Neodiprion lecontei: one gene and its partner. The protein of the gene in region 2 interacts with the protein of the main gene of each other region in a biochemical or structural test. Links are inferred from orthologs where the notes say so. Each region holds a gene or a part of one and is shown on either strand. Other genes may lie near its edges.

Evidence for each region.
Region 1: the proteins of E3 ubiquitin-protein ligase RFWD3 (region 2) and replication protein A 32 kDa subunit form a complex in vitro, tested with the Homo sapiens proteins (3 studies listed by BioGRID, with this or other methods). The link is inferred for Neodiprion lecontei from reciprocal best matches to the Homo sapiens genes RFWD3 and RPA2.

What each region holds. Positions count from the first base shown.
Region 1 is NC_060262.1:40,661,129-40,677,510, reverse strand, and holds replication protein A 32 kDa subunit, read right to left. Parts: upstream 10,271-16,382; 5' UTR 10,132-10,270; coding exon 9,355-10,131; 3' UTR 8,917-9,354; downstream 1-8,916. Other genes in the region: histone H1, read right to left, coding at 1-251; histone H2B, read right to left, coding at 3,207-3,578; histone H2A, read left to right, coding at 3,860-4,234; histone H3, read left to right, coding at 5,727-6,137; zinc finger MYND domain-containing protein 10, read right to left, coding at 6,415-6,502, 6,604-6,836, 6,936-7,073, 7,156-7,325, 7,396-7,601, 7,708-7,994, 8,237-8,345, 8,446-8,543; F-box only protein 22, read left to right, coding at 10,511-10,692, 10,936-11,123, 11,460-11,814, 11,905-12,296, 12,685-12,770; borealin, read right to left, coding at 13,912-14,796; zinc finger protein 420-like, read left to right, coding at 15,331-15,504, 15,599-15,766, 15,869-16,382. UniProt on the Homo sapiens protein: As part of the heterotrimeric replication protein A complex (RPA/RP-A), binds and stabilizes single-stranded DNA intermediates that form during DNA replication or upon DNA stress.
Region 2 is NC_060261.1:10,710,398-10,727,802, reverse strand, and holds E3 ubiquitin-protein ligase RFWD3, read right to left. Parts: upstream 11,342-17,405; 5' UTR 10,015-11,341; coding exon 10,005-10,014; intron 9,707-10,004; coding exon 9,470-9,706; intron 9,204-9,469; coding exon 7,717-9,203; 3' UTR 7,394-7,716; downstream 1-7,393. Other genes in the region: ribose-phosphate pyrophosphokinase 1, read right to left, coding at 1-144, 1,649-1,857; ubiquitin-conjugating enzyme E2-22 kDa, read left to right, coding at 3,718-3,780, 4,926-5,078, 5,156-5,238, 5,394-5,557, 5,670-5,801, 6,801-6,823; ubiquitin carboxyl-terminal hydrolase 47, read left to right, coding at 12,571-12,588, 15,069-15,266, 15,382-15,640, 16,427-16,605, 16,733-16,907, 16,990-17,111, 17,228-17,405. UniProt on the Homo sapiens protein: E3 ubiquitin-protein ligase required for the repair of DNA interstrand cross-links (ICL) in response to DNA damage. Plays a key role in RPA-mediated DNA damage signaling and repair.

The DNA of each region.
Region 1 (16,382 bases), on a different chromosome or scaffold from region 2:
GCTTGTTTTTCAGCGTCTACTTTGTATGTTGACGCGATGTATTTCTTGATAGCCTGCAGAGATGAACCTCCACGTTCCTTTAGCGTTTGGATGGCGCTGGTAACCATGTCAGAAGTCCGTGGATGCGCTGGCTTGGCACGAGGGCTCTTTGCCTTGGCTCCTGCTGCCTTTTTGGTCGGTGTAGCCTGCGCTGCTGGGCTAGCTGATGCTGGGCTAGCGGCGACTGCCGTTGCTGCTACCTTGTCTGCCATCTTCTCTTCTCTTTGCGGTTACGACTCAATGCAGAAAGCTTCGAAATTGGTTGAGATCGACGTGTTCACTGCGTAACTGATATTCGAGAATTGTGACTGCGAGAAGCAGCGGCAGGTGGTATAACGGAGCGCGGACCATGGAGAGAGGCCCCCCGAACGTTTCACGCGGCGCGCTTCACCAGCGTCGGAAGGCCTGGCACTGGGTACACCATCGATCGTCAGATTCCTGAGCTATTTCACCGATGACCCAGTAATATCACATCTTCACCAGGTTCTGTGAACTCTGGGCAAGATTTTACAAAAATTCCGGAAGACTTTGCTCTTTTGAGTGTCTCGAAAACGGCGGGAGTCGCGGACCATGTGTCTTGACGCCCTTCGCACTCCGAGCAAAAGACGCGTTGTTCCTGACCGAGGAAATCGCGATACGGTATAGACAAAAACGTTTTTTGGAGCCTGAAACTTTGGATTTTACGCTTGCAAAAATTCAATCTCACCATTTTAGCGGGGAAGCTGTTATCGATATTCCAAGTCGACAAGGCCGCGTTCCGTCGACGCCTACTGTCAGGCTTTCCTCGGATACGGCTAGACCGGTTCGGAATATTTACCAATGACAACCCCGATGAAGAATTCAGGAATGGGATGTTAAGAGGGAATATCTTAATTATTAGAACTAGGAATTACGCTTCCTGGTGAAGATGTACGGAGCGATTTTGCGGAGTGGCGCGTTCCTAATCTAGTCGCGCTCGAATATAATCGTAGGATATACCAGCTTTCATACTTTGAGAACGATGATCATAATTTACGAAAAATTAATTATCAACGATCGATGTAACGATTGTTGATCGTAGAAAGTGCAAATCAAAAATAGAAAAGATATACGCTTTTTTTGCCGATATACTTGGTCATTCCTCTCAGCCTATCCAACGGCGTTGGTATCACGTACATTTTTTTCCTATCTATATCCAGAAGAATTTCTTCCTCAGGTTAAATTTTGAATGAGTGATTAACAATAATGAATGAAAATGAACTTACAAGTGGTATAAAAATGCTTTTTGATCTAAAACGGAAATACAATGATTTTCCGCATACTACCATTTCAAATTAGAGTAAATATTACCATACAGCCTGGTTGAAGCAGTGAAATTTCAGTATAAGTTTTCGTTATAAGTTTAAGTGCATGTTTTCCGTAAAAACAAAAAAAAATTTTTACAAATAGAAACTCAGAATTTTTCAAACAGTATATTATTCGAAAAAATATAGCATCTGGAACTGTATATCTGCATCTCGTTTTGTGACTATGAGGCAGTTTTATATTATTGATATTGTTTTAATTGTTTGACGAATAGAAGTCAAGACAATTTCTAGAATCAGTTCGAAATTCTTCATCGCTCCAAGTAAGTATGGACTCATATTTATTTCTTGTGGCCCGTTAAATCGCATTGTTTAACGCTACACTGATTCCAAACAAGGCCCACTGTTACGTGGATTAATTTTAGTCCTGGTATTTGCTACGTGGAATTTGCTATTATGCGCAGGTAAAATTAATCGTTGTATAACCTGCAAGTATACAGGTATTGATGCGAATACAAAATTTTAATACCATTAATTACAGATTCCAAATAAATTGGAATGCATTCAAATTGTCATCAAGTGTAATAATTATTCATGCTTAAATTGTCATCAAGTATTTTCCGACGGCTTTTGGTACAGGAATCAAACTTATACCTGAAAAATAGTAATAAATACATGTCACGTAAATTATACCTTGAACATCTTGGAACATTTCAGTTATTATGTTATGAATAATGATATTCCTGTACTTAATATTTCTTCTATCAACAACAATTAACACAGAAATACATATATTTCTACTTCACTCTTTGTCTCTACGCGCAGATAGTGTAAAAAAACTGCACGGAAGACGTTTTTGATTCATCTTCCGTCATCGGTATTATCTACGTAGCTGAACAGATTCAAACTGCTGGTGATTGTGTGTATCTACAGATCAGCTGGTGACCGGCATATGTATCTTGTACAAACACCCGATCGAATCGAACGAAACAGTGTTTATCTCCGTGTCCTTGAAAATCTCCTGTAGTTTGTAAACTTTCAAACTCCACGTTTCATATTTGACATCTAATCACTTTCGCTCATTCTTAACGCTCTGTGTTTGCCAGTAAAATTGCCATTTTTTTTCAAGTTGTCAGCTGATTATCTAAAGATTTCTATTGATTGTTCAGCGTGTAAAAAAATCAATTTTCTAAAAGTAAATATCCTGCAGATCGGATGAAATTTTTACACAGGTCATTAATTTGGATATAGAAAAGTTATCCACTGGCGATACGTGCGCTTTCGTCATTCGTACTAATATTTAATCATGTATGGTGACTTGGCTGGTGTGAGCGCTACGCAATTGGGATCTAATTATTAAGTTTTACAACAAGCACGCTTAGCAAATTCGTAAACGTTTATCGCAGCATGGTGTCGCATTTCACTGTTGCAAATTCTAATTGACGTATTTGATCAACAACCATATTTTAAAGAAACTTATCCAAAAGTGCTGTTTAATTCAAGCACTGTTAGAAGTTGCGTTCAATATGTTATTCGTTTGATCGAGTTGACATAATATCGAGCTTTAAATGCTCAGAAAAGACTGATTAAGTTTCAGAGACAATTGCCAGCGAAGTTACTAAGACGAAGGAAAGTTTTCGTTGCTTGTTTACGAAATATTGGCATAGTAGCGGGATTTTCAACATGCCGTGGCAATTTTACAAATGTATGTATTCTTCGTTCAGTTAAGTATACTATTGATTATGAAATATTCTACAGGTAAATAATTTGACAACTAAGTTCTACATGTTTCGGCGTGAGGAAGACAGTTCTTTGTACTGATCAAATTGGTGGCCCTGAAAAGGGCCGTTGGATTGGTAATAAGTTGAAATTCGTGGGTGGCGTTCACTTTGAACTTGTATATTTGGTCACGGCTTTGGTGCCTTCGGATACAGCGTGCTTGGCAAGTTCTCCAGGTAGCAGTAACCTAACTGCGGTTTGAATTTCCCGAGATGTGATAGTTGACCGCTTGTTGTAGTGAGCAAGTCGAGATGATTCGGCGGCGATTCGTTCAAATATGTCGTTGACAAAGCTGTTCATAATGCTCATCGCTTTGCTGGAGATACCAGTGTCCGGGTGTACTTGTTTCAAAACCTTGTAGATATAGATTGCATAGCTCTCCTTCCTCCTGCGCTTTTTCTTCTTATCGCCCTTGGTGATATTCTTCTGTGCCTTGCCAGCCTTCTTTGCTGCCTTACCGCTGGCTTTGGGTGGCATCGTCAAAGGATAAAATTGGTAACGTAGTACTGACTCGATGCTTCACTCGTAAGCGTAGAAGGCGAACTACAGACCGACCTTCGCTGCGCCTATTTATTAAGCGCTGGCTCACCGACGCCGAGCCAATCAGAAGCCGCTGCGTTGAGTCAGACGCTCCGATTGGTCCGCGCCACTTGCGCTGACGCGTATAAATATGTAGTCGCAAGCCGTTTCGATTCATTCTACGACGAGCAGCGTTGACGCTTGGGTCTCTCGACGCGCACAAGTTAACAATTATCACTATGTCTGGACGCGGTAAAGGCGGTAAAGTCAAGGGCAAGGCAAAGTCCCGTTCGAGTAGAGCAGGACTTCAGTTCCCGGTGGGTCGTATTCATCGGCTACTTCGCAAAGGAAATTATGCCGAACGAGTTGGTGCTGGAGCTCCGGTATACCTCGCCGCTGTGATGGAGTACTTGGCTGCTGAAGTTTTGGAATTGGCCGGTAATGCTGCCCGGGACAATAAGAAGACCAGGATTATTCCTCGTCATTTGCAGCTGGCCATTCGTAACGACGAAGAGTTGAACAAACTGTTGTCTGGAGTTACCATTGCCCAAGGTGGTGTTCTGCCCAACATTCAGGCTGTTCTCCTACCAAAGAAGACCGAGAAGAAGGCTTAAATTTACTGCACAAACAAATAACCTTAAACGGCCCTTTTCAGGGCCACAAAATCGTTCAATATGCTTAGAACAACGTCTTGCACAATCCGCAACCTCATCTTGTTACCTTCCTAATATCTCATATTCGTGAACACTTCAAATTATATGTACTTTGGTACACATTTCAAATCTTGGCATACATATATTGCTTAAAATTCGCAAAATACCTTATTAATCATTAAACCCAGTGTTACTAATTCAACGGATAAATACGCCCTCCAGATTCTTTTCAGTGTACTGTGGTAAATTCATCGATTCTTCGAAAACGACGGCGTAATTCGTATATTCCTCTGCTCAATTCAATTGAACTCCGAAAATTTATAAAGAAAATCTTTATTGATTGCGTAAATCGATTCGCTTTGCTTGATTAATCAGAGATGGAAACTTGATGACAGTCATGACATTTCACAGGACATGTCTTGTCATGTATTCACGTTTAATCGAATGATGACTTGACTCTTCAGAATTGGAACAGAAAATTAAGCTGGGACATTTTATACATAGTAAATGTAATTTGCTGAATGTCGAATGTTTCTTCTATACGCAACGCAATATTCTTAAAATCAGTGCAAAAATTATTTTGAATGCAATGATTTTTTGTGGTACGGTACGTACAAACATTTGAATTGTAGATTACATAAATTCATAATTTACTAAGGTTGGAACCAAATATCCTGAAGGGTTATACGGCGTAGTCTCATAACGAATAAGGATGACAAGTAACATCAAATGGCGTTTTGATGTCCAATTGTACATCATGCAGCACGTATGAATCTTTGGTCAGAAATGATGAACAGAATATGCCAGTTGATTATTACACTGAATTATCGAAGGGCGAATCTTGCATAGTATATTACATGACATAGCAGTGCGAATCAGTTTTTCAACATCGGAAACAATCGGTGGACCGGTTTGTTGTTGAACTTGACGTCCAAAATCGTACAGAGTGTGACCTTAAGTTTCAAAGCATAGACGGCGTCTACGGTGGTTACAATTTTCCCTTTGAAATGGTTCCACTTTAGATACGAAAAATACTATTTCGCTTTTTCGGTCGCGACTTTTGAAGATTCCACCGATCGCCGTAGCTCTCTCGAGCCTTTACGACTCTCCATTTACAATAAAATTAGGAATGATGATACTTAAAAATTTAAAAGTCAGAGAAATTCGCAAAACGAGAACGTTAATCCCTCGCTGAAGGCTGCCGTATTACTGCCGCAATTTGCTGTAACTGCTGCAAAGACGTTATGTCCATTGTGTAAGGATTATGTATACACTATGGTTATATCCACGACTGGCTGCAACCTCCACCACCGCTCCGTCCACCAATGGAAGTGCAGTACGGGAATCTGGTAAGCTGGTAAATACAGACGCCAGATATTTCGTGACGCAGTTATTCGTTGGAAACGCTCTGATCCACGTTACGAAACTCTTCATCCGACTCGTTGAACCCGACATGGCACGTACGAAGCAGACTGCTCGCAAATCCACCGGCGGTAAGGCGCCCAGGAAGCAGCTGGCGACGAAGGCAGCTCGCAAGAGTGCACCAGCAACTGGAGGAGTGAAGAAGCCGCATCGTTACCGCCCGGGAACCGTTGCCCTTCGTGAAATTCGTCGTTACCAGAAGAGCACCGAACTCCTTATCCGCAAGCTGCCCTTCCAGCGTTTGGTGCGTGAGATTGCGCAGGACTTCAAAACCGATCTTCGATTCCAGAGTTCTGCTGTCATGGCTCTCCAGGAAGCTAGCGAGGCTTACCTGGTTGGTCTGTTCGAGGATACGAACCTGTGCGCCATCCACGCCAAACGCGTCACGATCATGCCCAAAGACATTCAGCTGGCTCGTCGTATTCGAGGCGAACGTGCATAATTTGCAACGATTACTTCGCGACAACCACAACCGGCTCTTTTCAGGGCCACCATTTACCCTATTCGCAAGGCATCGAATTACACTGTCGAGCTGTTGAACTTCAAATACTTTGCAACGTCATTGGTAAAGATAGTGAAACCAGGTTATTCATCTCTCGGAACCTTGATACGATTTTTTCAATAACAGTGAATCTATATTCGTTGTTGGATTACAAAATACTAGCGAAGAATACAACTTTGTACCTGAACACTGGTTCAATGAAATACGTACTGTGTTATCAATCTTTGATGCCGTAGGCCTCTTTATTTTTTATAATCTTATCACATACATCCTTGTGTCGGGTCCAATCCTTTACTTGACATTCCCTACAACATGTAAGTATTCATTAGTTGGTTTGAAAAATGTCATAATCGAAAATTCAACGAGAAACAACATTTTCGAGAAAGTAATGGAGTGTCAAGTTTACCTGCCGCAGTACCAAGCCTCCTTGCATTTAGAACAGCGATTCGACGCAATTTCTTTACAGGCAAAACACCTTCTTGGTTCTATAGATTCGAGCTTGTCCAGGTCATATGCTTCGCTCAAAACCTGTGCCATACTCTTAATGTGTTCTATGTCATTATTGAACAATGATTTAGATTGAAGTTTAGCTATTTTCTTCCATTTCCTGTGATACTTCGCCAGGATAGACGACCTTACCTAATAGAAGATTTTAATTCCACGATTTAATTACTAGTACAATAGCGAGCAAATTGTTCACGAGTAATACGTTGAAAATAAGTAATTACGAAATTTCACCTCAGGCAGCATTTCAACAATTATTGGTTTTTGTGCATTCGGAGGTTGGGACATTACGCTCAATTGACAAAGCCATCTTTTCAACTCTATCAACGGCGAAATTTGATCCAGTATGGTTTCGTGTAGGTATTTCTGCAGCTAAAGTCAATCCGGTTCAGAAATTATTCCAACACGCATACTTGCAATAAAGTTAGATATTCTATGAGTTCTTTCGAATTACCTTGACCAGTTTAGACATTCTAAATTCCGTGATCTCATAATACGGGGCACATTTTGGATTCAGGAGAATTTCCCGTAAACCTATCCACACTTGACCCTCTACTCTGCACATTCTGTCCTGGTCGGTTTCGTTTACCGTTTCCCATTTTCCGTTGTATACCATTTTATTCCCTAACGATGTAATAGTTATACTTGCGGAGTTACGGTTATTAACAACTTGAAATGAATCAGTGATGTTTACCATCCTCGCCCAATTTCTTCCAGGGTTGTTTTTCAATTAATTCAGTTAACAGGTACGGAACGTCGTGTGTTGATAACATTCGTGAAAGAGCGCATAGAGATAAACTGTCAGTAAACTCAGCCATGTATCGCAAAATCGAAACACACTTCATGCTAATGTCAAATTCAATTTCCTTCCTCTTTCGCAGCAACTCTGCCAAGCACGAGCTGATAAATAAAAAAGATATCAATCAAGGATTAATAAACTTCTCTCTATAGTCAAAAATAAAACTCATGTCTAATTCTGTTAATTCATCTGAATGTGATAAATTACTTTGTGTCTTCGAACTCGTCCTCGGATTCTTCTTTGCCCTTAAAGAGCAGATTCGTCACGTTGGTAACTGCGTAATCAATCAAATCCAGGGCATAGTCGTCCACGGCTTCTGCAGTATCAGAATGAAATAGAATATTCTCCAACAAGGAACAGGCTATCACTTCGTGATAAAACACGCTGTGCAGCAGAAACGTGTTCGTGGGTTCATCGTTTATTTCAATCAAAAGGGGAAATAATTTTTCTTTCCACACATTTATCTGAATCACTTCATGAATCAGTACCGGCATCTGAAATGGGACATTTCACAAAAGTACCTGATATATTTAATTACTCGTCTCATTATTCCCGTTAATTTCAAAGATTCGTTTCAATTCTTGTACAGAGTAACATTCAAGAGTGTATTTTTAACATATGTAGGTAGTAGTCAACATATAACATCATTGAAACTCAGATCATATATCGAAAATTTACTCGTATTGATCAAACTTTTCCTCCAGATAGCATATGTACAGATAAACATCGTGCTTACCTTTTTTAACGAGATGAACCATTCTTTTACAGCTTCTTCTCGCAAGGTGCTGATTTCTAAAACGCTTTGCTGGTTTAACAGCATTAACTTCTTGTGAAATTCCAGCCATCTACAATTATCGCAATATTGTATGCCGTATGAGAAAATATAGAGCGCAAGATACTTTGTACGAAATGATCGAATTTTCTTGGGATAAGAAAATAATTTACCGTTTAGTACCAATGTCGTCGATATTTGAAGGCTGTAAATCTTGTACGTGAATTTCTATTTCCCATGGTGTTATAATGTAATCCGTTCGTTCCGTCATATTACATACATCACAGAATTGAAAACTTCAGTGCTTATTCAAACTGATCACACGCTCTACTGACATCATCGGCCATTTGTAAATAATTTTCGTATCACGCGTAATCCCGCGTAAATTCGATTGGCAGCTGGCTTGAGCAATCAGTTTAGTTCGATTTGAAAGAGTATTTTAAATTAAAAATAATTGGTGTTGGATAGAAAATACCGATTACTATCGAGGTTCGAATTCCGAATGAAGCAACAACAATTTACGAATGTATACTAAAGTATATTATCTTCAAGAAGTTCAACATATTACAAGTTAGCCGAATAAAAATCATCTTGTTTGCAGACAACTTGTGAGCGCAGATGGAAACTGATATAAGGCGTATACATACGGTGTGTAAGAAAAAACCTTGCTTCATTTTATTAATCTTTGGAATAACGGCTTTTACGAATATACAAAAGAGTGAACACAGATTAACATAAGACTAAACAGTAACATACTTCTAGCGAGAAGCTGAGAAAAATATGTATGATATTCATATTACATATATCGGCAACGCATTACGCGTATAAACGTTACAACATGGAATAATATGCACAAAAAATGTAATGCGTGCTGTATTTTTTTTTTTTTTTTTTGATTTACAATTTTTGTTTTCTCATCATTTTGCGGTTCATAAAAAATAGACTGGTAATGGAATAATTTTAATCTAACTGACGTAATTGTACTGTATCATAACATCTTCCTTTAAAAAAGAGGAGGGCAAAGGTACTCGATCTATAAGTACCCGAAAAATTTAAACAAATCGACGCTGAATGATCCATGTTTACGTGGTTTTGAAGTGATCGTCGGTAAGCGTTGTGTAAATGTGTCCTTCCCCGGCCAGGAAGTCGAGTATATCGTCGACCTGAGGACGGATATGCGGCTGCACCCGCGCCTTGATTTGATCCCTCTCGATGCCGCTCGGCGTGTCGTTTTCGGATTGTATTATCTTGAAGACGGCTTTCTGGTCGTTCGTCATGCCGCCAAGGCTCGCTCCCATTATCGAGGAATCCATCAGCGAATTCTGCAGTCCGACAGGTTGATTCGAGTCCGGGATGCCGATCGCGTCCATGTTGCCGGCTCCAGCGAATTTCTCCCCCTTCAGGTCGACGTATATCGTCTCCAGGAGGTGCAGGGTCAGTTCGTTCAGGTCCGTTATCGGCCATATTTTCATAATCAGAATGTGCTTCTTCTGGTGCTGCTCGCGGAGCGAGCCGAAGACCCGGACGTAGGTGTTCACCTCGATGACCGATTCCTGCGGGGGTTTGTCTGCCTCTATCCAGTGGAAGGCCGTTATCGTCCCGGTTTCGTCCTCTATGTCGTAGGTTATCTTCGTCGCCGAAGGGTCGATCCGTCGGATGATACCAACGGTCGTTATTATCTGCACGTCCGTACCCCAGATTTGCAGTTCCTCCGGGCTGTCGATCAAGTGTTTCATCATCACCGGAACGATGTTCTGGGCCCGTTTCACTCCTCGTTTCGCGTTCCCCGCCGGCGAAGACACCTCCGAAGAGTTAAAGTACCCACCCCCATCATTTGCAAACGCTTTTTCGCCCCACATTGTCAACTCTGTTAACTCTTATAACGAAGAACTAAGGTCACAACTTAACCTCAAATCGCAACAACACGCTTTTTCAGGTTCACCAAACTGCGCGCTGTCTACTGTTTGGCGGGATTTCCATTCAATGGCAATCCTCAAATGTTTATTTCTGCGTTTGCGTTTGCGCGAGACAAGCTGGTGGCGCCATCTGCCAAACACTTGGCGCATGCGTATTGCAGTTGCATTCATGGATAAGGAGTGCATCAGCGCACGTAAATGCATGAGAAGACCGCACAGCTGTCGGTCGCCTTTATTGATTCTTTGTGTTTGAGTACGGTAGAAGGCCTCTGGCATATTGTAAACAGAAACTGTTATCGTGGAATAATTGAAAAGAGTAGCCATGGAAAATGTGTCGAAAAGGAAGACACGGAAGAGGAGACAATCTAATCGAGAAGAAAATAAGGATGTTGACACCGATGTGGATGGTGTAAATTGTAGAGAGCGCATAACCTACGACGTACTCCGACTGATGCTAGAATATTTTAATATTACGGATTTAACTCGGGCGGCTATGGTTTGCAGGTAGTAAAAAATTTGGTCGTTCTGTAATGTGTTCTAGCGGCCAAATATTCCACATCCAACGATTCTCTCCATTGTGGAACTGGTTCTTCAACAATTTATTTTAACTGCCTCTTGCGGTCGAGCCACGTTTTTTTGTTCCATTATTTAAAAAACGAGAACAGTTAAGAATAGTTAGTTTTTTAACTTGGTTCTCCAGGTAATAAATAAAAATGAACTACCCCTCACCGAACCGATATGTTTCAGATCCTGGAATGAAGCTGCCGAAAAAGAAATTCACACTCGACTGAAACCACAACATTTTTTGCTTGAACCTAATACTGAGTCGAAAAAAATTACCGATCCAAAATATGTTGTGGACAAATTGTTCATCCAGCCAAGTGTTGGAATGGTGTTTAATGGCTTTCATACTAGACGTCAAATTTGGCAGCCAGGTACTGTGTGAGGCTTAACGTAACATCACATCGACGCAAGCTATCTAGAAAACGAGAGAAAGTAAAGTCTGGTGAAGCTCTAAAATTTGAAATACTTAGTATTTGCTCACCTTCCCAATAATTTGTTTTTTTCCCATATTTTTTCATTAGAACTCAATTGCTTGAGCATTGTGTTTGATAAGTTGTCAAGCTGCAAAGAAATGGGAAATTGAAAATAATACTTGTCAAGAACTTTGAAATATCGAGTAATATCAAGTGTGTTAAAACAATTTCATCGATAATGAGATTCGTCATTCATCTTCGTTTTCTAGTTTGACTGACATTCAAATTTTTCAGATTGTTTGTGTAATTATTTGCCTCCTCAAACTGATTATATAACATTGACAAACAGTGGCACTATTTATGATGAAGTGGAAAACAAAGCTAGAGGTCTATCCAGTATATTCTTCCCTGAGATTCCTGATGTGAAAATCAAATACTTTCATACCACAAAATTGGACTACCTCAAATTTGATTCAACGCAAAATCCTAAATCTTGTAACAAATTAGCAAGGGAATTGTGTAAAATATCTCCAAAAGAAGAAAACATAAAATGTATAATAATGTTCCTGGGTGGGATGACACGCAACATTTTTGCAACCCCAGATCCAGACCACGTAGAATCGGTCATAAACTCGATTGTTTCATATGGGTAAAGCACATGGATTCAACAATGTGGTATGAAACATGACATGATAAATTTTCACAATTATAATACTTGCACGATATTGTCATTCCACAGAACGAACACAGCTAAAAATAAAATTGCGATTTGGGGTGGCATCGCTCGCAGGGTAATGGTATGCAGTTCTTCGCGTGATAAGAGGATATGCAAAAAAAGTGTACCTATTGCTGGCCTCAGTATCTGCGGTTCAGGTGTTTCAACGTGGTCCATGGTGTTAAATAGCCGTATAAAAACTAAGGAACAAGCTGAAAAAGAATTGACAGCCTTGAGGGATGCGGTCAAGTTGCAAAAACACACAATTGGTTTCATGTTCTCTTGTTGTGCACGAGGCGATAGCTGGTATTCGGAACCAAACGTCGAGGCTAAAATCTTCAGAAAACTTTTTCCAAATGTTCCACTCATTGGATCGATTGGAGATGGGGAGTTTGGCGTATCCACAGTTCGTCACGGTATTTACCACCAGAATTAAAATTAATTACTCTGTGTGACAAGCGCATGTCGTCCGAAAATACTGAAAAACTTCTCGACATGTGTTATATGTGCCCACGATATGAAATTTTTTCTAGACTGTCAGTTTTCGATAAACTATTTTGCTTCCACTTTGTATTTGACTTTTTTTTTCATATTAAAAAAGTAATATTAATAATTCTCTGGGGTATTTTAGCTGCATTAGTTACAGATTGACATTATTTAGGCATGTTACTGCTATAATGCTGTCACAAAGATTTTGAAAATTTCACACTTAAAATTTGTCTGGACAACCTATGGATGCAACAAGTTTTGATATTTTTACTTCGATCAGTATCGTTAACATTCCTTCTTATTTTCTGTTTTCAGAATACTCGCCAGATGAACGTATTTTCCATCAATATGCTACAATATTTTTAATCGTGTCTTACGGATCTGTGAGGAAAGTGTTATAAATATTCAAGTAAACTGCATCAATAAGAAACGGGTTGTTAACACAAACCAGTAATGCATTTTGTATTTTATTACAACAAATAAATATGACAAAATCCTATCATTTAATTTTCAATCAGTTAATGTTACCTAGGAATTCTAAATGCCAATTATAATAAAAGTATGAATCTATAAACTGTATAGAGTATAATAAAATCAATCACATCCAAGTAGGAAGGTGCAAATGTTATACAGTGTGTTAGAAATTCATAATCTAATTTATTAGTGCTCACCGACCACACAAGACACTCTTTGCGTCAGTCATATTTGAAAGGCACGACTTACTTTGTCTAACTTCTTAGTAATGCATTTATAAGCTATGTATTAATATTAAGTAGAAACAAAGAAATGTCCTTAATCAGCCTCTTTCATTCACATTCTCAAAAGCTTTTGCCTCTTTATGTAAAGCTCTAGAATGAGACAAAGTGTGGCACAGTTTTAGAGCATGTTGGTCAGAAAATTGATCAATGTCCAAATATTTTTTAAATTTTGCTACAGTCAGATATTATGAAACAAAAATCACGTAAATTATTCTGAAATATTTGCTATCCACATTCTTTAGATACAGATATTCAAAGACTCATGACAATTAAATTCCTTAACTTGAATATGTTTACAAACTGCTACTACAAGCAAGTTTTTTTTCTAATAAAATTATAATGATAAAGGGTGGGGATTATACTAATTGTAATGTAAGAATGAATACTGTTTGAAATGAAATATATATATAAACTTTCGACACGCAAGTGTTTCAGCACTAATCCTTGATAAAAGGGAGAAAGAATTGAATAAAGCTGTAATGACGAAACTGGACATGTAATTTAGTAAATTAATTACTTCAGACGATGAGTATCAATATACACATAAGATGGAGTAGCAGGTGGTTTAAGGGATTAATACATTGATAATCCGAGTGAATAAAGTAGGTACTCAAACACCAACAAGTCTATCCTTATCTTTTCCACGTATCACTCACATGTAGTTAATCACGTTGAGTCCCATGATGTGGAAACGTGTATAAAAATTACATTAAATATGTATAGAAAAATATGATTCAATCTAATCAAGAAGACAATAAGAACGAGAAGTACAGAACGTTACATACTAGGACCCGATGACCTTATCTAAGTGCTGTTTTAGGGTAACTAACTGACGTCTGGTCTCTGCGTCAAATTCCGGTAGGTACGATAGCCGGAGTCCATCGTTGGGCAGCAGAGAAAGGACCCTTCCATTTTCCAAGGGCACATTGACGTTGGCGACATTCTCATTAACCACAGATGTCACTAGGAGCGGACTGCCCTGCATACTGAGGGCCATTTCACCCTGACGAGGTCGTCTCATCACGCTCAACGGTGTGTTGGGCTTGACTTTGGGGGTGACGAGGGCGTACTCTTTTCCGTGAGGCTTGAGCAGCGGCGCTGGAGTCTTGAATTTGTTTTTAATAGCAGACGAAGCGCCTCGTTCCTCTTTCCTGGAGGTTTTGGGCGCGAGGGTGATTTCGCAAAGTTTTGTTTTCCCGCTTGCGGACGAACTCCGCGTCCTCATTTTACGCGTCTTTGTCGAGGCCGCCGGGACGGCCAGATGATTTTGATTCGTCGTATTCGTCGTGGTTCCGACCTCCGTCGCGTAACCGTCGTCAGAAGCGGTTGTCGTGCGCTTCGAGGCCCTCGTCGGCCTGACCGTCCTCAGGGTGGGCGAATTCGTCTCGTCGACGTCGATAGAGGAGCTCACCTCGCATTGTTCGCTCGCATCGTTTTCGTCTGACGTTATTTGGAGTATGTCGCGGAGCGTCAACTTCGTCAGTGATTGGGGTAGACGGGAAGATGCCATGCGGTAGTGCGTCTCGATCCTGTTCAATCGCCCTTCGAATTCTACCTGCATTTTGTGCAGCCGTAGCTGCACTTGCTTCTCGAAATCTTTGAGTAGCAGACCGCCGTCCTCGCCCGCCACGATCGATTTTGTTTTACGGATATGCTTTGTTCGCGGCATTTTCACCTTTGCGATCGCTTCTCACGGAGGTTTAACAACGCGGCTTCACAGCTGAGGCGTTGACTGAAGATCTTCAGTCAACGGCTGAGGGATCCGATTAAAACCTCCACTTTCTGCCTGTACGGTATTTACATCTTAACCCTCCTCGAATTGTTGGCAATTTCACACGCAACTCTGTTCCAACTGGCTGTTGATATGATAACGCTATTGCACTTCAAATCTTCGATTTTGCTAACTGATTCCCTCGTAAAATGACAACAGCTCCTAACGTACATTTAATTTTCAAATCGTAAACCACGAATTACGACAAGATTACCGAACTCTATTGACTAAATGTTCTGCGCTCTCTCGTGGATTCTGTCCGAACTATTCGCCATCAATTAGAATACAGTAGAATATACAAGTTTCCCGCTCTGTTAACAGCGCTTTGGCGCTTGCTTCCAGCAGCTTTGATGCTTTATGGCCACGAAGTAAGAGGGATACTTCGTGTTTATGGCAGAGACGATATAAATTTAGTGTATCAAAATACGTGCGATGGACGTGAATGCTGAAACGAGTGTCTCGAGAGAGAACTTGGATGATGTATGTCGTGTTTGCCTTTCGTCCGATCCTGGCAACGAATTTATTTTCCGAAATGAGGCCAAGATTTCAAATACTAACAACACATTTACGTTGTCCGAAAAGCTCCAGCTTTACGGTGGCATAGAGGTTAGTTTAGTTTGTATAGTTTGAAGCGATACTCTGCTACAGCTTCTATTTTATGTAATGGAATAAACGACAAATTTCATTTTATCCACGTTAGATCTGGGAGGACGATGGGCTGCCTGCCAAAATTTGCACGCTTTGCATCTCTAAAATTAGCGTCGCACACGATTTTCGTGATCAGTGTCAAAGAGCTGACCAAAAGTTGCGAAAATTATATGGCAAACCAGCAGGAAGAAACACTTTGAAACTTTCCAGTAGTTTTAAGGTGCGTAATGCTATTGTACAGTTAATGGGAATATTTATCATTCTGACAACTGTTTGTTTTCGGTTATCTTGACTCATCTTTATCATCTTTGCTTTTCTTTAGGATCAGTACTGTCAAACAGATTCGTCATCGTCATGTGTCAAGAAAGAAGAAGAAGTCAGCATTACTGAAGAGGAAACCAAAATGCAGCAAAATGTCCCAATTAGTAATCGGTTGACCACAGAGATCCAAGTATCTCCTTGGAACAATTGTACAGAGGACATAGAAGTTCACGAGCATAAAATTTTGCAAGACATTAATGTTGATGTGCCGCAAGCAGAAAGGGAGAAAAGCTCAGTGAAAAGAGAGTCGTACAGAACTCGCAGGGTGTCGATGTTCAAAAGAATGACATCTATGGAAAATTTAAAAAGTCACAAAGAAAGACAGAGACAGTATATAAAAAAAAACACAAGTTCCAAGGTGGAGTCTATAGAGCAGGATTATTCAAGCGTAAAGCGGATGACTCGCAATAGGATAACTAGATCGATGGAATACAATTTGGAATCAGAGCTCTCTCACAAGTGTAGCAAGTGCAATAGATCTTATTCGACGAAAAAGTCGCTGGAGAGACACGCAT
Region 2 (17,405 bases):
ATGACTGCTGTTACTCGAGATGCAGAGGCAATCTTGCATGCATTGATCATAATCAGCAGCTCCATGAGATTGTCATTTACCTCGCCACTGCCGCTTTGAATAATGTAAACATCTTCGCCACGTACAGACTCTCCGATTTCCACGCTGAGAATGAAAAATGTTACAATTTTTCATTAAACTACATATAATGGTGAAGATACTAGTACGAGGTGGATACATCAAAGAAGAAAAAGACACGTTTAGTCACGTTGCTATTGTGTCGTCGAAAGGTAAATTGTTGTTACATTGAATGAAATGAGATCAGTTACATAAATTCAGTTTCTGATACTTTAGGGAGCTTATTTCAATCTGCCGGTCGTCGACAATTTACTTTATTACATAGGAAAAGAAGGAAATACAATTTTCATAAAAATTATCCACTTTTTGTAAAGTTACACATTGATTTTTTGATTAATTTCAAATGTTGCAAGCCTTCGACTCTTCAGAAAAGTAGACTCGATATAGTAAACAACGGAACTTTTATGATAACTTGCGAAGAAAAAGAATAGAGCCATGAAATAATTGCTTCTGTTCAAATAAGATTACATCATGTTTTATTTGTTCAGCATTTCTTAAATAGTTAGAAACTCTTTTGTTTGAATTCAAACCAACGTTTCTAGTTGGAATCTACCGTGATATTATCATTTTGCGAATGGATAGGCGATTATTAACGAAACTAAAGCTTTGTTGTTTGGTTATTTATTAGCAATTGCTTTGAAAAATTGGAATTTTTCAAAAATAATTGCAATGTAAATGAATCTGCATTCTTTTCACCTGTAAAAGTTGATTAATAGCGGTACTTTCAAATGTTTGGAAGGTCTTCAATATTTTGTGATAAACATTTGGCGAACCTTAATCAAATCGCGTATGATAATTTTTGATCCTTCAGAACGTAACGATGTAGAAATGAAACGTGTACCGGTAAGACTGTTGAGTATAAAAATAAAGGTAGGTAGTAAAAAATTGCATGCATAAATATACGACGTTATATTTGGTCGTTATAAATATCGGATGTGATTTCAAGTAATGATACAGGAAAACTTTGTCAGCATCGAAAGAGTTTCAATACAGAACAGTGCCCACTACCAACAAACGGCAAGGTCGTTGTAATCATGATGTATTAAAGGCAACGTCAACCTACACAAGAAATTGCGCGCAGCCGTCTAATACGTACATAATATGTATGTATGTATGTACATAGGTACACAAAATGACGCGAAATATCAATGATTACGTACGCGGAGCAATAGATCCGAGAGAAGTAAAAAAGATTCGTTCTATTACTAGAGTCGGACGGGAAGGCAAAGGACAAAAAGATATGAGGGAATTAAACAACGCGGCGTGGCGTTGCGAGGATCTCCGGTGAACGGTGATTGGCGCAAGAGGGGTTCGCGTACCTGTCGAAGCAAGGGTGCCAGAATAAACGACGCTAATTCCGAGAACGATTTACCCAGATTTCAGGCGACTGTTTAGATATTTTGGAGCTTCGATGAAGCGGGATAGAATTTTGTCGACGAGTTGGATTGGCCATTGCTCCGCGAGGAAGCGGCGCGGGTCCTGACTCTTTATAAGATAAAAGGATAAATAAGGGCTGCAATGATGTAGTTACCATGTTTCGAGGTTGCTGAATTTTTTCGTGACAACCTTCCCGATGTCGATTCCAAGCCTGTCGACTATTCGCTGCGCCAGGTCCGGGTGCGACGTACCGCTGAATACTTTGATATTTGGCATTCTGCTCCGTAGTACACTACCGCCACGAGGTTTCTCTAACTTTGCGCGTAACAAACTCCTCGCACGGACTGGTTGCGAGACGGGCATTACTGTAAATCCGAACGACCAATCAGAGCCGTCCGGAAATTATCAGTATGCGGACCCAGCGCTCCCTCGTGTCAGCTTACCGAATTATTTGCATTTCAAATCTTTGATCTTAGGGTGGATTTTCACTGGCGGCAATATGCTTTTTTCACCGATAGGAATGCCGATAAAGTAATAAAGTGCTGCCTGATGCACGCTGAATGCGAATTATCCATTTTTATTATTATTTGCATTGGTCTGGAACTAGGCAGTAAAATACTGCCGCAGCATTTTGCTGTCCACGAAAAGCTCGCATGCCTCATGGGGTAAATGGTAACGGCCACTCGGTATACTCTATCTCTCTTGCTCTGCGCTATGATTAGCTGGTCGATCATTCAAATTGGCCAATTTTTCTGTTATTTTTTTATTTTTTTTTCATATTCTCACGAACTTCCAGCGAGTTTTAAGAGGATGCTACGGGTAGTCTCTAGTAACCGAATAAAATATCACTCATTTTGACTATTACCCAGAGTCTACGCATCACTGACATGAAAATGGCGCGGATAGCACATTTTAGCCACTGCAATGTCGAACAAGAATATTCAAAAGCTTCTGTCTTTCATGCAAGAATAACATCAGAAAATGTGCTCCTACAATTAGTAGTAATTCTATTACAGGAATATCATTGTAGCGTAAAACAAATACCCGTTGGGTTCTTGTGTTCTGCTTTCGATACAGAATAGTGCTATCACGGGACTACCTTTTCCCGTTAACGAATGCGTAGGCTCTGATAATAGTTAATCATAAGTGACATTTGACTTGCTCGGTAAGGACTGACTATAGAAACTTTTTTGTGAACTGATTTTGAATTTTGAGGATGTCGAAAATTGCAACAGATATTATCGTTTTCAAACCATTAAATATGACTCGAAGAGATAAAATTTGTTCATGAACGGGTACGGGGATAATTAAAAAAAAAATTAGGTAATGCGTTTCATAGTTCGGTCCGTACATGGCAGATATGATGCTGCAAACATATTGACATAAAATCGAACAGAATTGTAATTATGTACTTGAGAATCATTGAAGCATACATATTTACTATTCGTTTCATAAGTCAGCAGATAATTTAAAGTTTACTAATTAATCCGGTCATAGTTAATTTATTATCAATCGGTGTTCTGTCATATTATATTCCATTTTGTCACAGTATAATGTTACATATATATTATACATTTTTTGTACGTGACATCGTGGTCCAATTTGTTATTTTTTCAACTTTCTTCTTCAATTATAAAATTATTTATGCTGATTTAATTCATGCACTTACGTTACAATTAATGTAAAAGATTAATAGAATCGTTCGGTAAAGTATTTATATAAGTGCATTGCAGCGTTAAGATCTGACAGTAAAACAGTTAATATTCACCACTCAATATCTGTGAAGGCGTAGAATAAAACCTGCGTCATTGCTTACGTATTCCATAAGTAGTTGTTGAAGAATTGAATAAAAAAGTTATATATAACCATATTTACATGAGTCAGTGAATAAGTTTTTTGAAAATCTCGAACGAGATTGGTAGGAAAAAAAAAATTTCAAATTAGCGCCAAAGTAATCGCGGCGTGACTCTAGTCGGAATTTAAAGAGACAGGCAAGTGACAGTCACTTTTCTACTTTTCGTCTTTTCCTATCAATGTGGCGCTAGCTGTGATCGAATGACAAATTGTATGTAACCGCCAGCGGTTATTTGGGTAAAAAAAATACAGGTTGCGACAACAGTACATGAATTAAAAGAGCTGTTTAAATCGAGGTAAATACTGGCATCCGTACATTCGGCGGTAAATTATGTCAGTGTATTGAGTAGCTGGGAGTGATAGGGAGACATGGCGAACATTGCGGCGCAACGAATCAAACGGGAGTTCAAAGAGGTTATAAAAAGCGAAGAGGTGAGTGAATAAGTGCAACTTCTCAACGACCCAGTACATTTACCAGTATTTAGCCAAACGCGTGATCGCGAGAGAATTTCACATATTATGCAACGCTAACCTGTAACAAACGGCTAAACAGATTCTCCACGTACCAAGTCGTAGACAATTTTGAGTTGAGGGCACATCTCGCTTTCCTCGCTCGTTATAATTTTCAAACTTTCCTCTGACAGTTGCTTGCGCAATTATTTACCTCGTCTGAAAAGTGTCTGTTGTTATTAGAAAAAAAACATTTTCATTGAAAACTTATCCTTTTCACAAAATTCGTGAGAATCTCAAGTTCTTAGTACATGAAATATCCTATTCAGTTCATACTCATTTCCATAGAATCTTTATTTCTTCAATATCTACGTTCTCTGTCAGGTTCATCTTTTAGGTTTCATCATTTCTCCGGATATTTGAATACTGTTTTAGAGTCACTAATTAACCATCCAAAATTCCTGTTTGAAAAGATATCAATAAATGTAGCTTACTTACCATTTTCTTCTTCTTCCGTTGACAATAATTCGACATTTTCTGGGCTTGCCATAGATTTTTGGGTTGCAGTCAAGTTTTGTTTTTCCAAGACCCCTTTGTAGGCAGGCTATCACGATTTCCACGCTTTGTTAACAAACTGCTTTGAATCTCGTCACATTTTCTTACTTCAGACCGCTTCTTGCGCTAGTCGACATTTCGAAACTTTGTTATTTTCTACACATCATTACGGGTCGCGTTGATAAACTTGGCTTGGTCATTTTTTCTATAAAAGTATTACAGATTAAAGGCTACAGGGGGTCGGCAATCTTATTAAAAGTAGATTACTATTTCTCAGCAATACGATGTATCTGTTGAGCAGTACTGTTCGTATGAATCGCGATAATATTTGTGTTGATAAAACATAACAACCTCGGTGCATAGCTTGGTTGCCTTTCCCTTTTCTACAATTATAATATTCATTAAATATGCTGATAAGATAGTGTTGTGTTTCAGTTGAAATATATTTTCAATAGTTGAAGTTGATATTGAATATGGTCAACTTGTCAAATGATTTCCTCTTCTACTTTATTGGCATTTTCAACAAACAATAATTGACTAATCATGTTTATCTCTTTTCTCTAACATTTCAGGTGGCAAAATGTGCGATTAAGGTAGAACTAGTAAATGATAGCTTCACAGAATTAAAGGGTGAAATAGCAGGACCACCCGACACTCCATATGAAGGTGGCAATTTCGTGTTAGAGATAAAAGTACCTGAAACGTATCCATTCAATCCACCCAAAGTAGGTACCAAAACCATCATGAACAAAGATGTAGTATAAGATCTGAAGTCATTGAATTTTACACTTTTTTATTTCAGGTTCGTTTTATCACAAAAATATGGCATCCAAATATATCCTCGGTTACAGGCGCCATATGTTTGGACATATTAAAAGACCAATGGTAAGTTGCAGTCCAATAATGGTTACTAATATAATTGATCGGGTGATAATTTTGCACTCTGCAATGTCGTTGGTTCTATCACCTTACGACAGAATAATTGCATAACAGATTTTAGTTGCATTGTGTTTTAAACGATAATTGTCATCCTTTGTCAGGGCTGCTGCGATGACCTTAAGAACAGTTTTGTTATCGTTACAAGCCTTATTGTCAGCTGCTGAGCCTGATGATCCACAAGACGCTGTGGTTGCTAAGCAGTATAAGGAGCAGCCTGAAATGTTTCGTCAGACTGCAAAACATTGGACGTCTGTGTATGCTGGTGGTACAAGATTTATCTACTACGAAATTTATTAAAGTTTTTTTTACGAGTAAAGACCTCAGCGAACTAATGATTGTAATATCAAAAAATACCAAGAAATGCCTGATATTTTTAGGACCAGCTAAGATGTCAGATCTCGATGACAAGATAAGAAGATTGACTGATATGGGGATCGAAGAACATAATGCACGAGTAGCCTTATCCTCCTACAATTGGGACTTAGAACGTGCCACCGAACAGCTATTCAGTTAGTGATTACTGTGTATTCTTATGTATCATAAAAAGCAGCTACTAATTGGCAGCAACCTCTTGGAATGTCACTGTCACAAAAGCATACCATCGTGTTTTCAAATAATTGAGAAAAAAACCCAACATTCGTAATGACAATATTGCAATGGTGAGATAACTTTGGAAGTGATCCCAAATTTGACTAACTATTAGCATTCATTTAACATGTAAAATAGATACGAGAAACAATAATAATTGATGAACAAGTTTTAAGTAGCAAAATTTCATAAGGTATGTAACTCAAGAGGAGGGCATTATTACGATTTACGAGAATAAGTTGTAAATTCTAAATCTACAAGACGAAGCGACATTTATGTTTGAATAGACATATGAATGTTTTTTTTTTAATCAATTCCCAATAATCCACTTAGAAACAGCATTAGTAAAATATTTAAGAACCAAACACGTATTAAAATCTACGAAGATAATTGCTTTGATTAGGCACTAACACAGTTGCCAAGTGCTTCCCTGAAATTTTTCTTCAATCTGAGTTCAAGTTTTATGTGAAACCTCATTGCTGGAGGTGTGTATCCAATTGACTGCGTTACTAACGGTTGTACTACTCAAGTGTAACTCATTGTCAGTTCAATGAATGATGATATTACATGTTTTTGCCCCCAACTCTTATTGTTCGAATATAAATAAAATTATTAAACACTTCTTCAATTGTCAAAATTTGAAGATTGACTAGCTGATTATAATATCCTGCAGCATATCGACTGATTGTAACGGGGTTTCGCTTGACTCTTGAGTGTATATTAATCAAATTAACGTATCTTTTAGTCCTAATAAACGTATTTATGAAATTTCGGTAGCCTCCAAACTTGATTTGTGAATATTTAAATTTTGCACATTTTTTGAAGTTTGATTACTTGCAAACTTACACTACTTTTCATTATACCGACGATAAGAAAATTCCAAGAAATCAGCAAAATTAAACTTATAATTTTAATTACAGTGACGGTTATGGCGAAAAATTGAACGTAGCTATTTGATGAAAATACATTTCTTAGAAAACTTGGAGTGTAAGACGGCAGTGTGGTACGACAGGATATCGCATGGTCGGTCCCGTGCACGTTTGCTAAGTGATGTTGTATACGTTTCACGTAATGGAACATTTGATTAATTTAATCTACATCCTATCTTACTTCGATTGTAATTCTAAGAGTAAAGTTCTATTGCCAGGTGTGAAATCTTACCTGCATACGATGTACTCCAATTAATTGAAAATTGATAGTTATGTTTCATAATATTTCATGCATTTTTCAATCATTCACAATGTGCAGGCTGTGTCTGAAGTGTCGCCAGCAAGAGTCAAGGTCCAACTACTCGCAAACCAGTTTGTTAACTTGGGACAAATGGTTGGGATCTGTGAATTTGAATTTACAGGAAAACAAAAAAAAAACTCTGCTCTGTTCATATTGGGAAATTTAGGATTTATACCATTTAATAAGATCAATGTACATTAATAGGCCTCAAATATTAATAAAAGTAATTTTTTTTCAATACTTCTTTCAAAATTTGATCCACCTTGATTTGATCGTGGAAAAATATAAATAGTATACAGTTTTGAATTACTGGAAGTAAAAAAATTATTCGGTCAATATTTAAAAACAGGGCTTATAGCACTCTTAAAAAACGTGCCTAATCTATAAAGAAAATTTTTTTATTCGATACAAAATACTTACGCTACAATAATCGGTATCACATAAATTTAATTACACACACGTATATGACATATTGTATAGTTTAAACAAGTTTCTTTCACTTTCTATTTCACTAGTAAATAAAACACATTCGATTATGATTTCACATCATGCTATTCCTTAATAACACTTGACGTCAACGTCTGTATGCATTTATCTTACAAATAATCAATTACCATATTTATATGCCCTTAGTTTCTTTTGAGAGAGCGTTGCTAGAAAGAGGTCATTGTTTTTAGTATTAAAGGCGCAGAAGTCTATCACAGGATCAGAAACAGGAAGATTATAGATCTGTTTACCAGTTGATATGCTCCAAATTGGTATAGAGCTGGTAGCTTCTTGATGAGCGGCTAGAAGCGTGTCATTTTCAGTCTTTATCTGACACGGTCTAGAAAGTAATTTCTGTGAATTTCCACCTTGGAAAGTGTGAACGATATTGCAAACGATTATATCCTCGGTACCTTTTTCAATTGTACAAACAGTATGCCTTGCCTGCGGTTGCCTGGGGTTTGGGCGAGACGAAACCACGACATGTTTGCTTTCGGAATCGTAGCAAACTGACACAAACGGCCCTTCAAGAAACATTTGCTTGCCTGCAAACTCCGCATCTTTGCTTTCGTATGCGAAACAACTATTCAGGCGACAAGCTATGAACCCTCCAGCCGGTATTCCACTGTCGTAAGCTGGTGCAACCTTTGCTAAAGCGACGACCGGTGATCTGTCTCCTGGTCCGTCTATTTTGCTGATTGGGCCAGCCGTTTGTCTAATATCGAATTGTCTGACAGAACCGTCTTGGGCACCGGCCAAAAAGACATTGTGATTATTACCGGCCCAACAACAGCTCCATAGCTGAGAATCCGTCTGATAATTGTGAACCACTGTATTATTGTGGATGTCCATCAACTTTGCACACTTGTCGAATCCAACACTAAGGAGTATTTCGTTTATGTAAGGATTGAACGACACGTCTCTGATGGCCTGAGAATGCAGGAAGACGAATTGTCGAGATCGAAATTCTCTGGAATCAATTTTTTTTATTCCATACCCAGAAAATAAGGCATTTGTGGATTTTTGTGATATGACTAAGGTCTGGTACCACGCATTATAGGCAAGAACTCTGCACCCGCCATCTTTACAAATGTCAATCGATCGTTCAAGATGAAATTTCTTTAACATTGGTTGCGAATTTGAGTGCTGTAGGCTCGATTGATATTCCTTTCCCATTTGCAGTTGCTGACTTTCAAGTTCTAATATTCGCTGCTTCATACCAGCCAGCTGTTGGTCGAATAATTTCTGCCGTATTATGTACCTTTCCAGTTCCATCTGCAGCCGACTTTTCTCTGCTGTAACTTTGCTTAATTCTACTTTCAGTTTGTCCGCTTCACTAGTATCAACTGCTGATAACTTTTTGACATACAATACGCGTATATCCTTAGCCGAAGCCTTGTGATTGCACTGAGGACATCGACGCGCTCCTGCGTTACATCCAGTTTGTAACCAACGCTGAATACAACTATATCCAAACAGGTGTCCACAGCGTAAAGAACAGAGACGATGTTCTCCAGAGTTGTTCCACAGATCCATGCAAATCGGACATGATTGACCCGAATCTAGGTCTGCCTCCTCATCCGAGCCTGGGTCTTTTCTTTTGTTTCCTATGAAATGAGTTTTGTCCATCGAGATATATTTGAATTATCTTAGGTAGATCAACGGTAACTGTTAATACTAGTTTGTTTTGCAAGAAGCAATTACGGTCCCAAAGAAATCCGAAACATCAAATAGGGGCTATAATTATCTGGACCTTGAATCAATGTCAAATATTTCATATGACTTTGAGATGTCAAAGGAAACATGACTTGATACTATGATGAAACAATATGTAAGTGCTTACTGCACCTTTGAATATTACTAAATAACTCACCAATTTCGAGAAGCTCTTCGTTATTGTTGTTTGCTTGTGGTTTTTGGAAAATTGGTACATTCTCTTCCCCTTGTACAGATCGAAAGGTTATTGGTTCACTATGCTCAATAACCTGAGCTTCTTGGTCTGTCTCTGGTTCTGATATGTGTACCACTTCCCGTATAGGAGTGTTGACACGATTATCAGGAGCCAGGATTACTGGCTCATCTGCTTCTTGAACCTCCATCTCTTCTTCATCTAACATAATCAATATTCAATTAATAATAAGAATTGGATTATAAGTGTACATCAAGCTCGATGTTGAATGATAGCTGCGTGCAAGTGTTTCCTCAAAATCTTTGCCATTTTTTGATCAACTGTGTCTGTGAATAGTAATTTAATCGATGGTTAATCGTTTGCTGACAAGACAGGGTGAAACAAATTAAAGCATATAAATGAGGCAGAAAACAGTATCAGATGTGGGGTAAACGGTTAACGGTAAATTTAAAGGGCTTATTCCTTGGAAACGGAAAGAGAAAGATAAAAATCAACTCACTGTTTTCCATTTTTAACGAAGTCGGACAGGTTATACATTTAGAAGAAGAGATGAAGGTGCAATGCGGGATTAGCAATGGTTGAAACTTGAAATTAACAACAAAAAAGCGGTGATCATAGTAGGTAATTGGAAAAATATCACGTTTATACTTTTTTACCGAACCATCGATGTTGCCAAAGGACTTATGACTTGGTTTCACTCCTTTGGAGTGCTCACTTATTTACGCTCCGTTCTGTTAGGGTCGGTGTCCTAGTGAGAACAAACGGGAAATCGGAAATCTTCTCAATCTGCTTAATCTCATCGGTAAACAGTCAACGCGTCTTTCAACATCAATCGGTATTTGGCTAACAGCCTGTGTTAATTAAATATCCTTGAGTGTCAGCAACCGATGGCGGTTAATGGCGGTCGAATCTGCCTCCAATAATTGTAGGTAGAGTATCGCGATGACCCACGTTGATTGGCCACTCATTGAATCTACTTCGAATATTGGCGCTAATTTTTGACAACCTTAAATTTTAGGACTTTCAGAATTTTACAGTTTGCATCTTGCAACTTTTAATCAATAATATTCTTTTTCACAACTTTACACTTTGTTCGAACGTTGTAAGGGAAAACTTGCGGGATATGAATAATCGTTAGAAGATCGTCTCGTTAGAATGTTACAACACCAGAATGCAGGGTTCTTTCCCTTTTTATTGAGTTGTACGCTCGCAACTATGCTGCAAAGAAGTGTTTTTACATAAACTTTGCATCGCTTGCAAATATATTCTTAAGTCAACACCATGATCCTTGCTATTTTTAATTTTCTTCTATAAATGTACGCTTTGCATGGCTTTCGACTTTTTCCTATCGAGCTCTCTGGGAATCGTATGTTTTGCGAAGTCATAATAAGCCACAATTGATTGTAATAAAATATAGTTGGTAAATTATTTGTGAACAGAACGAACTTTTGAATTACCCAAGGCTGGCTCATTTGTGCTTAGACGATTACTGAAAACTGGGTTTTGTGTCTTTCGGGATTGCGTGCTAAATGGCTCTCGCCGATGAAAAAGCTACCGTATCACCAACACGGTTTCTTATGGCCCCGGGCCTACCCAGGGCCCACTGAGACCCACTTACCCGCGGACTGGTTACGCAAAGTTATTTGTCACATGGATTCTTTGGAAATTCTGCGATTTTGCAATATCTGCGAATCATTTAAGAGGTTCCCGCAATGCATTTTTAACAAATTCAAAGATCGCCGGCTAACTTCACATAGTATCTTGCCGAACTTCAAAAAGCGTGACTCTAAGCGGTTATCTCAACAATTTGTAGTCAATGCTTGTTCCGTGGTAGCTTGATCCAAGCTAGGTCCACGGACTTGCTAGGCCATGAAAAGAAAAAATTAAATTAAAAAAAAAGAAATATGGCGTAACGTGATTGCTACACATGTGTCAGTGAATTCGGTAAGTGATTTTTTGACGATAGTTTATACTCGGTGCAAGCGTAAAAACGTATTCCTCGCAATAGGACTCACTGCGCAATTATTTTTACCGAGTATAAAGATTTTCTCATTTTAAATAGTTACATAACTTCACGGTAAAATCATGTTCAGGACGCATATTTCTGACGTCGGTTGTTCAGCCATTTGAGAGAAACTTTGTAATAAACATTTTCTCGTTACTCTATTACCTCCTTTTCTTTTTTCTCAAATTCTTTTCATTTCATTTTCAAACTCACCTTGCTGTACGAATACGTAATCTTTTTTTCACAACATCTGCCTAATTACGTAAGACTAGTTATACGGAATTTGATTTGAAGGAATATAAATACCGGCGTCTTCACAACGTCGAATCTACTTTTGCTCACTTGTTCTACTGGCACGCAATCTCCCCGATCTTACGCCTTCAGATTTCCTTCATTATTTTTAATATTTATTTATTCACTTAACGTAAAAATAAATTAGCAGCCCCTACTTGCCAACTACCATGACGTATATATCTACATACATTCGACGTAACCTTGTTGGTTTTTTCTTTTTTCTCTTCCTACAGATCTCAAGCAGCTTCAGCGCATTACCAAAGGTTGAAATCGATTCAAATATTTTCACTATCACCAAGAGAGAAAGGAAAGACTAGGTGAGATTTGCCTTCTTTGAAACCTTTTCAGTAAAACTAAGCACTGTAAAGCATGTTCACTCTCCTCCATAACCTGTTAACAATGTGACGAGATTCTTTTGTTGCCGTCGATCGAGACAGGAGATTCGAATAGCCATCGAAAGGTATCCAATTGCGATGATTGTCCCTAGATTTCAGAGTTGAGTGTTGGAAGTAAGAGACCTAGAAATTTTGCTTTTTCATAATCATTTAATGTCCTGTGCATTTATTTGATGGTTACTATTTGGCTATTTATTTGGTGGTATGTAATTCAAGATTAGATTTTTGAGTGATTAAACATTGAAGTATGTATTTTTGTACTTGTTTTCTATATTTCGTTTGCTTGTTATCACCTATTTTTGTGTACCTAATGATTCAATAGTACGAATTTATTGTAGATACCTATATGACGTATTTATTACATCACAAGGATGACCGTGGATTTTGATGTAAGTAGTAATTAACTACGGGATATTTGAAAATCTTGTCACATCGTCCATACTTATTTACATGTCGTAAAAGAAAAAGAAATGAAAATTTCATTTACACTATTGACCAGTTGCTCAAGACTTCCACTAAATCCACTGAAATTCAGTTTAAGAGAAAATATAACCACTTGATACTGTTTTTCAAACATTATTTACATAAATTTAGATTTCAACAAGCTTCTACAGATGATTTCGCATTACAAAATTGAGAAAGCAGATATTATTTCCTGTTTTTATACTGAGAAAAGAGTCAAGAAAACATTATTAACAAAAACGTATATTAAGAGGGTTTGAAAACCTTGAAAACAGAAATTTATCAAGTAATTTTACAATTTGTGCAAAATTTTTTTATGTAACAGGAGGATTTAATTTTTGTGACGGAGTGTTGGCAAAGTCTGGAAATCGGTGCCTTGAGTTTTGTGGCCATCCTTGTAGCGTATCTGCATGAAAATAGTTATATGCTTATGCCTCTGTTACACTTTTTCTACGACAATGTAGCAATTTAACTATTCTAAAATGCTAGTACTTGATTTTTCAGTTTCTATGTCATCACTTGTTGTTAGGAAAACTTACGGCGAAATGAACTAATCTCCCTTCAGCAAATTATAGTACGGGTCTCTTATTCAGAGTACTTTACTAGAAAGAAAAGTTAACAGTTTAGAAAAGTTGCTTGTTTATAAAACACTTCCATCAGAAGTTTGAATATGCAAAGGAATGAGATAATTTCAATGAATCAATACAGATATGTAAGATATGAATTTTCAAAATATTGAAATTCGATCTTATCAAAACTCTTCGGTATTTTATCTATCACTAACCGACGTACATTATCAGATTCTCATGTTTACAGTAAGTGTATTCAGATAATGCCGATAATCAGTTAATCCATGAATTTGAGCCCAACCGGCTCAATGATTTTCAAGATATCGAATTCCGAGTTCGGAAATGCAGATCCGACTCCACTAGTAGCAGACATAGTTTATTAAATTGATTTTCACTGTAGTATTTTTCACAATTTGACCATCCTTGTAATTAATCAGTAATGTGTCTGTGTTCATCGGTTGTGATTTTGAACCTATAGCATATGAAGAAAAAAAACAGATTTCACTGTATCCAGGGCTGATAACTTCTGTAACAGAATTTCGCACCATCCTGTTGTCTTTAAAAAAATTGCAAATATCAGGTACTGACATGCATGCACAGGTTTTATTCTTCTTCATTTCCACCGATAATATTCCTTTTCCATCCGATTTATTGATTTTAATGAAAATATTTGATGCAAAATGAACAAAGACTCGTCACAGGTTTTGCGAATCAGTTTGCCCTCATATTCCCAGATAATTATCTCGTCAATATGTATGTACAGAAATATATATATTAGCCGAGATAAATATACATAGTGCGGAAAGTTTGGGGTGACGATGAGGACGATTACACAACTCGAAAAACAACTATCCAACAACAGTGTAAGAGAGGCTTAGGTATTAGTGTGCTTGTGAAGGCGAGTAAAAGCAATGCGCAGTGTAAATATGTGAAGGGGAGGTGGTACTGATCTCAGAGAAGAGAGCCATTTTCAAACTCTTGGTTTAGATCAGCTAAATATAGCTGCAGGGTGTATAGGCTCCTGTAGTCTACCTTGCTCTGCAGAGCAGCGATATCCCACTCCATCACACAGATCTCGCTGATTTTCTACCTTCACCATGGCGAGCTGCCAAATTTTGTCTGCCTGAAATCTGTTAATAAGTTCTTCCAATTAATCTTAGAATCAGTAAATATCATTGTGAACTATTTATTCGTTTGTGCCAGTTAAACATGCGACTGTGTGCTTTCGGTGCTTTTCTTAGAAACTTGAAAGTTCCCATCCGCATTGTGATCCTTGCGACTTGTTGTCTTGGGAAGTAGTTCTATATTTAAACCGGAATTTATAACTTCACATTGTTCCTGCAAATAGTTATTTTACGTCCGCAGTTTAATTAGAGTTACTTCATCATCTTTTTTTTTCACGAAATACTTTAATTATGTTGCTTGGATGATAAAATTATGTTCTAATTTGTTTGCAGTTTTAACAAATAGTTATTCTGTCTGGTACACGTATTGCTTTGATTAACCCTAAATTAAGTGAAATGGTTATTGGTTAAAATGTGATATTGAATTATGTATATCAATTGCCACCCAGTCGTGTTTCAAAATCTTTAGAAAGACTGGAAAGTGTTCATTCCTCGCATACGAGAAAGATCTATTTTTATTTTCATACAAAAATACATTTTATCGTGTAACTTAATATAACGAAATAGTCAAGGTGCCGCCGAATGCTTGTGGTAGATTTCAAATTCACTTCGCACTGACTAACATTGCGGTAATATCATAAGTTGAGTAAAATTGAAACTAAGAATAAACGCACGAAATGTGCCTGCGACTAAACCTATATTATACATTCACAGGCTATGGTGTGTGCCGTCGAAGACTGTGGTGTGGAGTGCGTAGTTCGTGATTGCACTTCACGAGATGCCCAGCCAAAGTTTAAGCTTTCTCTTCACCCATCGACGACAGTTATTGATATCTTCAACTATGTAGCTCAACATTATTCCTACGATGTGGACAGCTTTGAGCTGGTGCTACAAAGTGCACGTGGTGAAGTGGTCAGTCGGTTTATTTTCACCCGTGTTCTTTTCGCTTTGAACCAAAAACTTTGAATACTGTGAATTGACTTCTCTCCAATATATGTAAATTTATGTTCTTTTTTTATACCTACAGGTCGAGCTAAACGAAGTAAAGGAAAAAAACCTGATGGAAATTGGATTGAATTTTAGTAACGAGACAAAGTACACACTGGTCGTGAGTGACGTTTCTCGCCACACTTCAAAGGATGCAGCGGCCAACAGAACTATTTCATCCATCAAGACTCCACTGTTTAGTCCATCCTCTGGAGATTACAACCGACCAGCTCCAGCATTCCAGTCACAAATCCAGGAGTTCACTTTTAATCATAAAAGTGTCATCAAGCCTGAGACTAGTAAGTTTGATGCACCTCGCGATACTTCAGAGTAAATTTCGTCGCAACGAGGCAATGAAAGGAAGCTTTTTTCACGTTCAACTCATTTTATTCTATCACGAAATATGGCTGATTATCAATATTCTGATTAAATTTTATTGATAAACAGAGCGGACGTTTCAGTTTTTGCTGCTTCAATACAGAGAAAGTGGTTGACTTTGAGCTCGATAGAGAGACTTCAAATATCATCATCAATTACATTGTAATTTATTTTTCATCTAGTAATTTTGAATTTTGATCATTCTTCTAGGACGTAGAAGGGGGAAAGTTAATAGTCAAGGTATTACTATGTTAATTTTGACTGTACATTTACTTGGATGACACTTTGAACCTGCCTGTTCCGTCATTTGACAGCATATATTTCGTAATCCGGTTATAGGAGACACAATTACTCAAATTTAGATATATGAAGCCAATTATGCAGCATGATGCTAACATTTCAATGAGTTATTCATTTACATGTAAAAAATTCAACATGATATGATTGGAAAAATTGTCTTGGACCGTAACGTTTTTCTCAAATTTTGTTCTTCAATGCTCACAATCCTTTATAACTAGTATAATATACTACATACAACTCTTTTCCGTTATGCAAACTATTCAATGTTAGCATTGATCAACTTTGCTTTCTAAAAAACTGGTTCAAACTTTACTTTACCAGTTGCTTTTGTATATCGAAATGATTAGACACTGATTAAACGACTCCTCTGTAATAATTCACTTGACCAAACAGCTGTAATCTTCTAGGTTACGTCGGTCTGGTGAATCAGGCAATGACGTGTTACCTAAACAGCCTTTTGCAAGCCCTCTACATGACCCCAGAGTTTAGGAATGCTTTGTACAACTGGGAATACGTCGATGGTTCAGAGAAAGATGAGGCCAAAAGTATTCCATATCAACTGCAGAAATTATTTCTAAATTTGCAGGTCAGTTTTCATAAATCAGATCACAAATTAGGGATGCAAATAGATATTCTAGAATATTCTGTATAGTTCGAAAGAAAATTATGTATTTCAAATTTCATTAATGCTATGATTTACATCTGCCGAGTAGACGTCAACAAAGCCTGCAGTGGAGACTACTTCTTTAACGAAAAGCTTTGGTTGGGACTCAACGGAAGCATGGCAACAGCACGATATACAAGAGCTGTGCCGAGTGATGTTTGATGCCCTGGAACAGAAGTTTAAAAACACACAGCAGGCTGACCTGATCAATAGGCTTTACGAAGGTATACTTTTTAGTCAACGAATACCTTTGTAATAAAATTATACATGATATTTACCACTGACACGCTGATCATTATTCAACAGGAAAGATGATCGACTATGTAAAGTGCCTAGAATGTAGTACTGAAAAGTCTAGAGAGGATACTTTTCTGGACATTCCTTTACCTGTTCGGCCATTCAGCAGCAATGTCGCGTACAATAGCGTGGTGAGCATGCTTCAATTTCAGGCCACAAAATCACGATACTGGAGATTTTTTAGTGTACTATCATTGTTTTGGACGGCAATTCACATTATATTAAAATATTTGTGATTCTTCTACAGGAGGAAGCCTTGCGAGCGTTTGTGCAACCTGAAACACTGGACGGGACAAATCAGTATCATTGTGAAAAGTGTAACAAAAAATGTAACGCACATAAGGGGTTGAAATTTTCAAAATTTCCGTACCTTCTTACATTACATTTGAAGCGATTTGACTTTGACTACAATACTCTCCACAGAA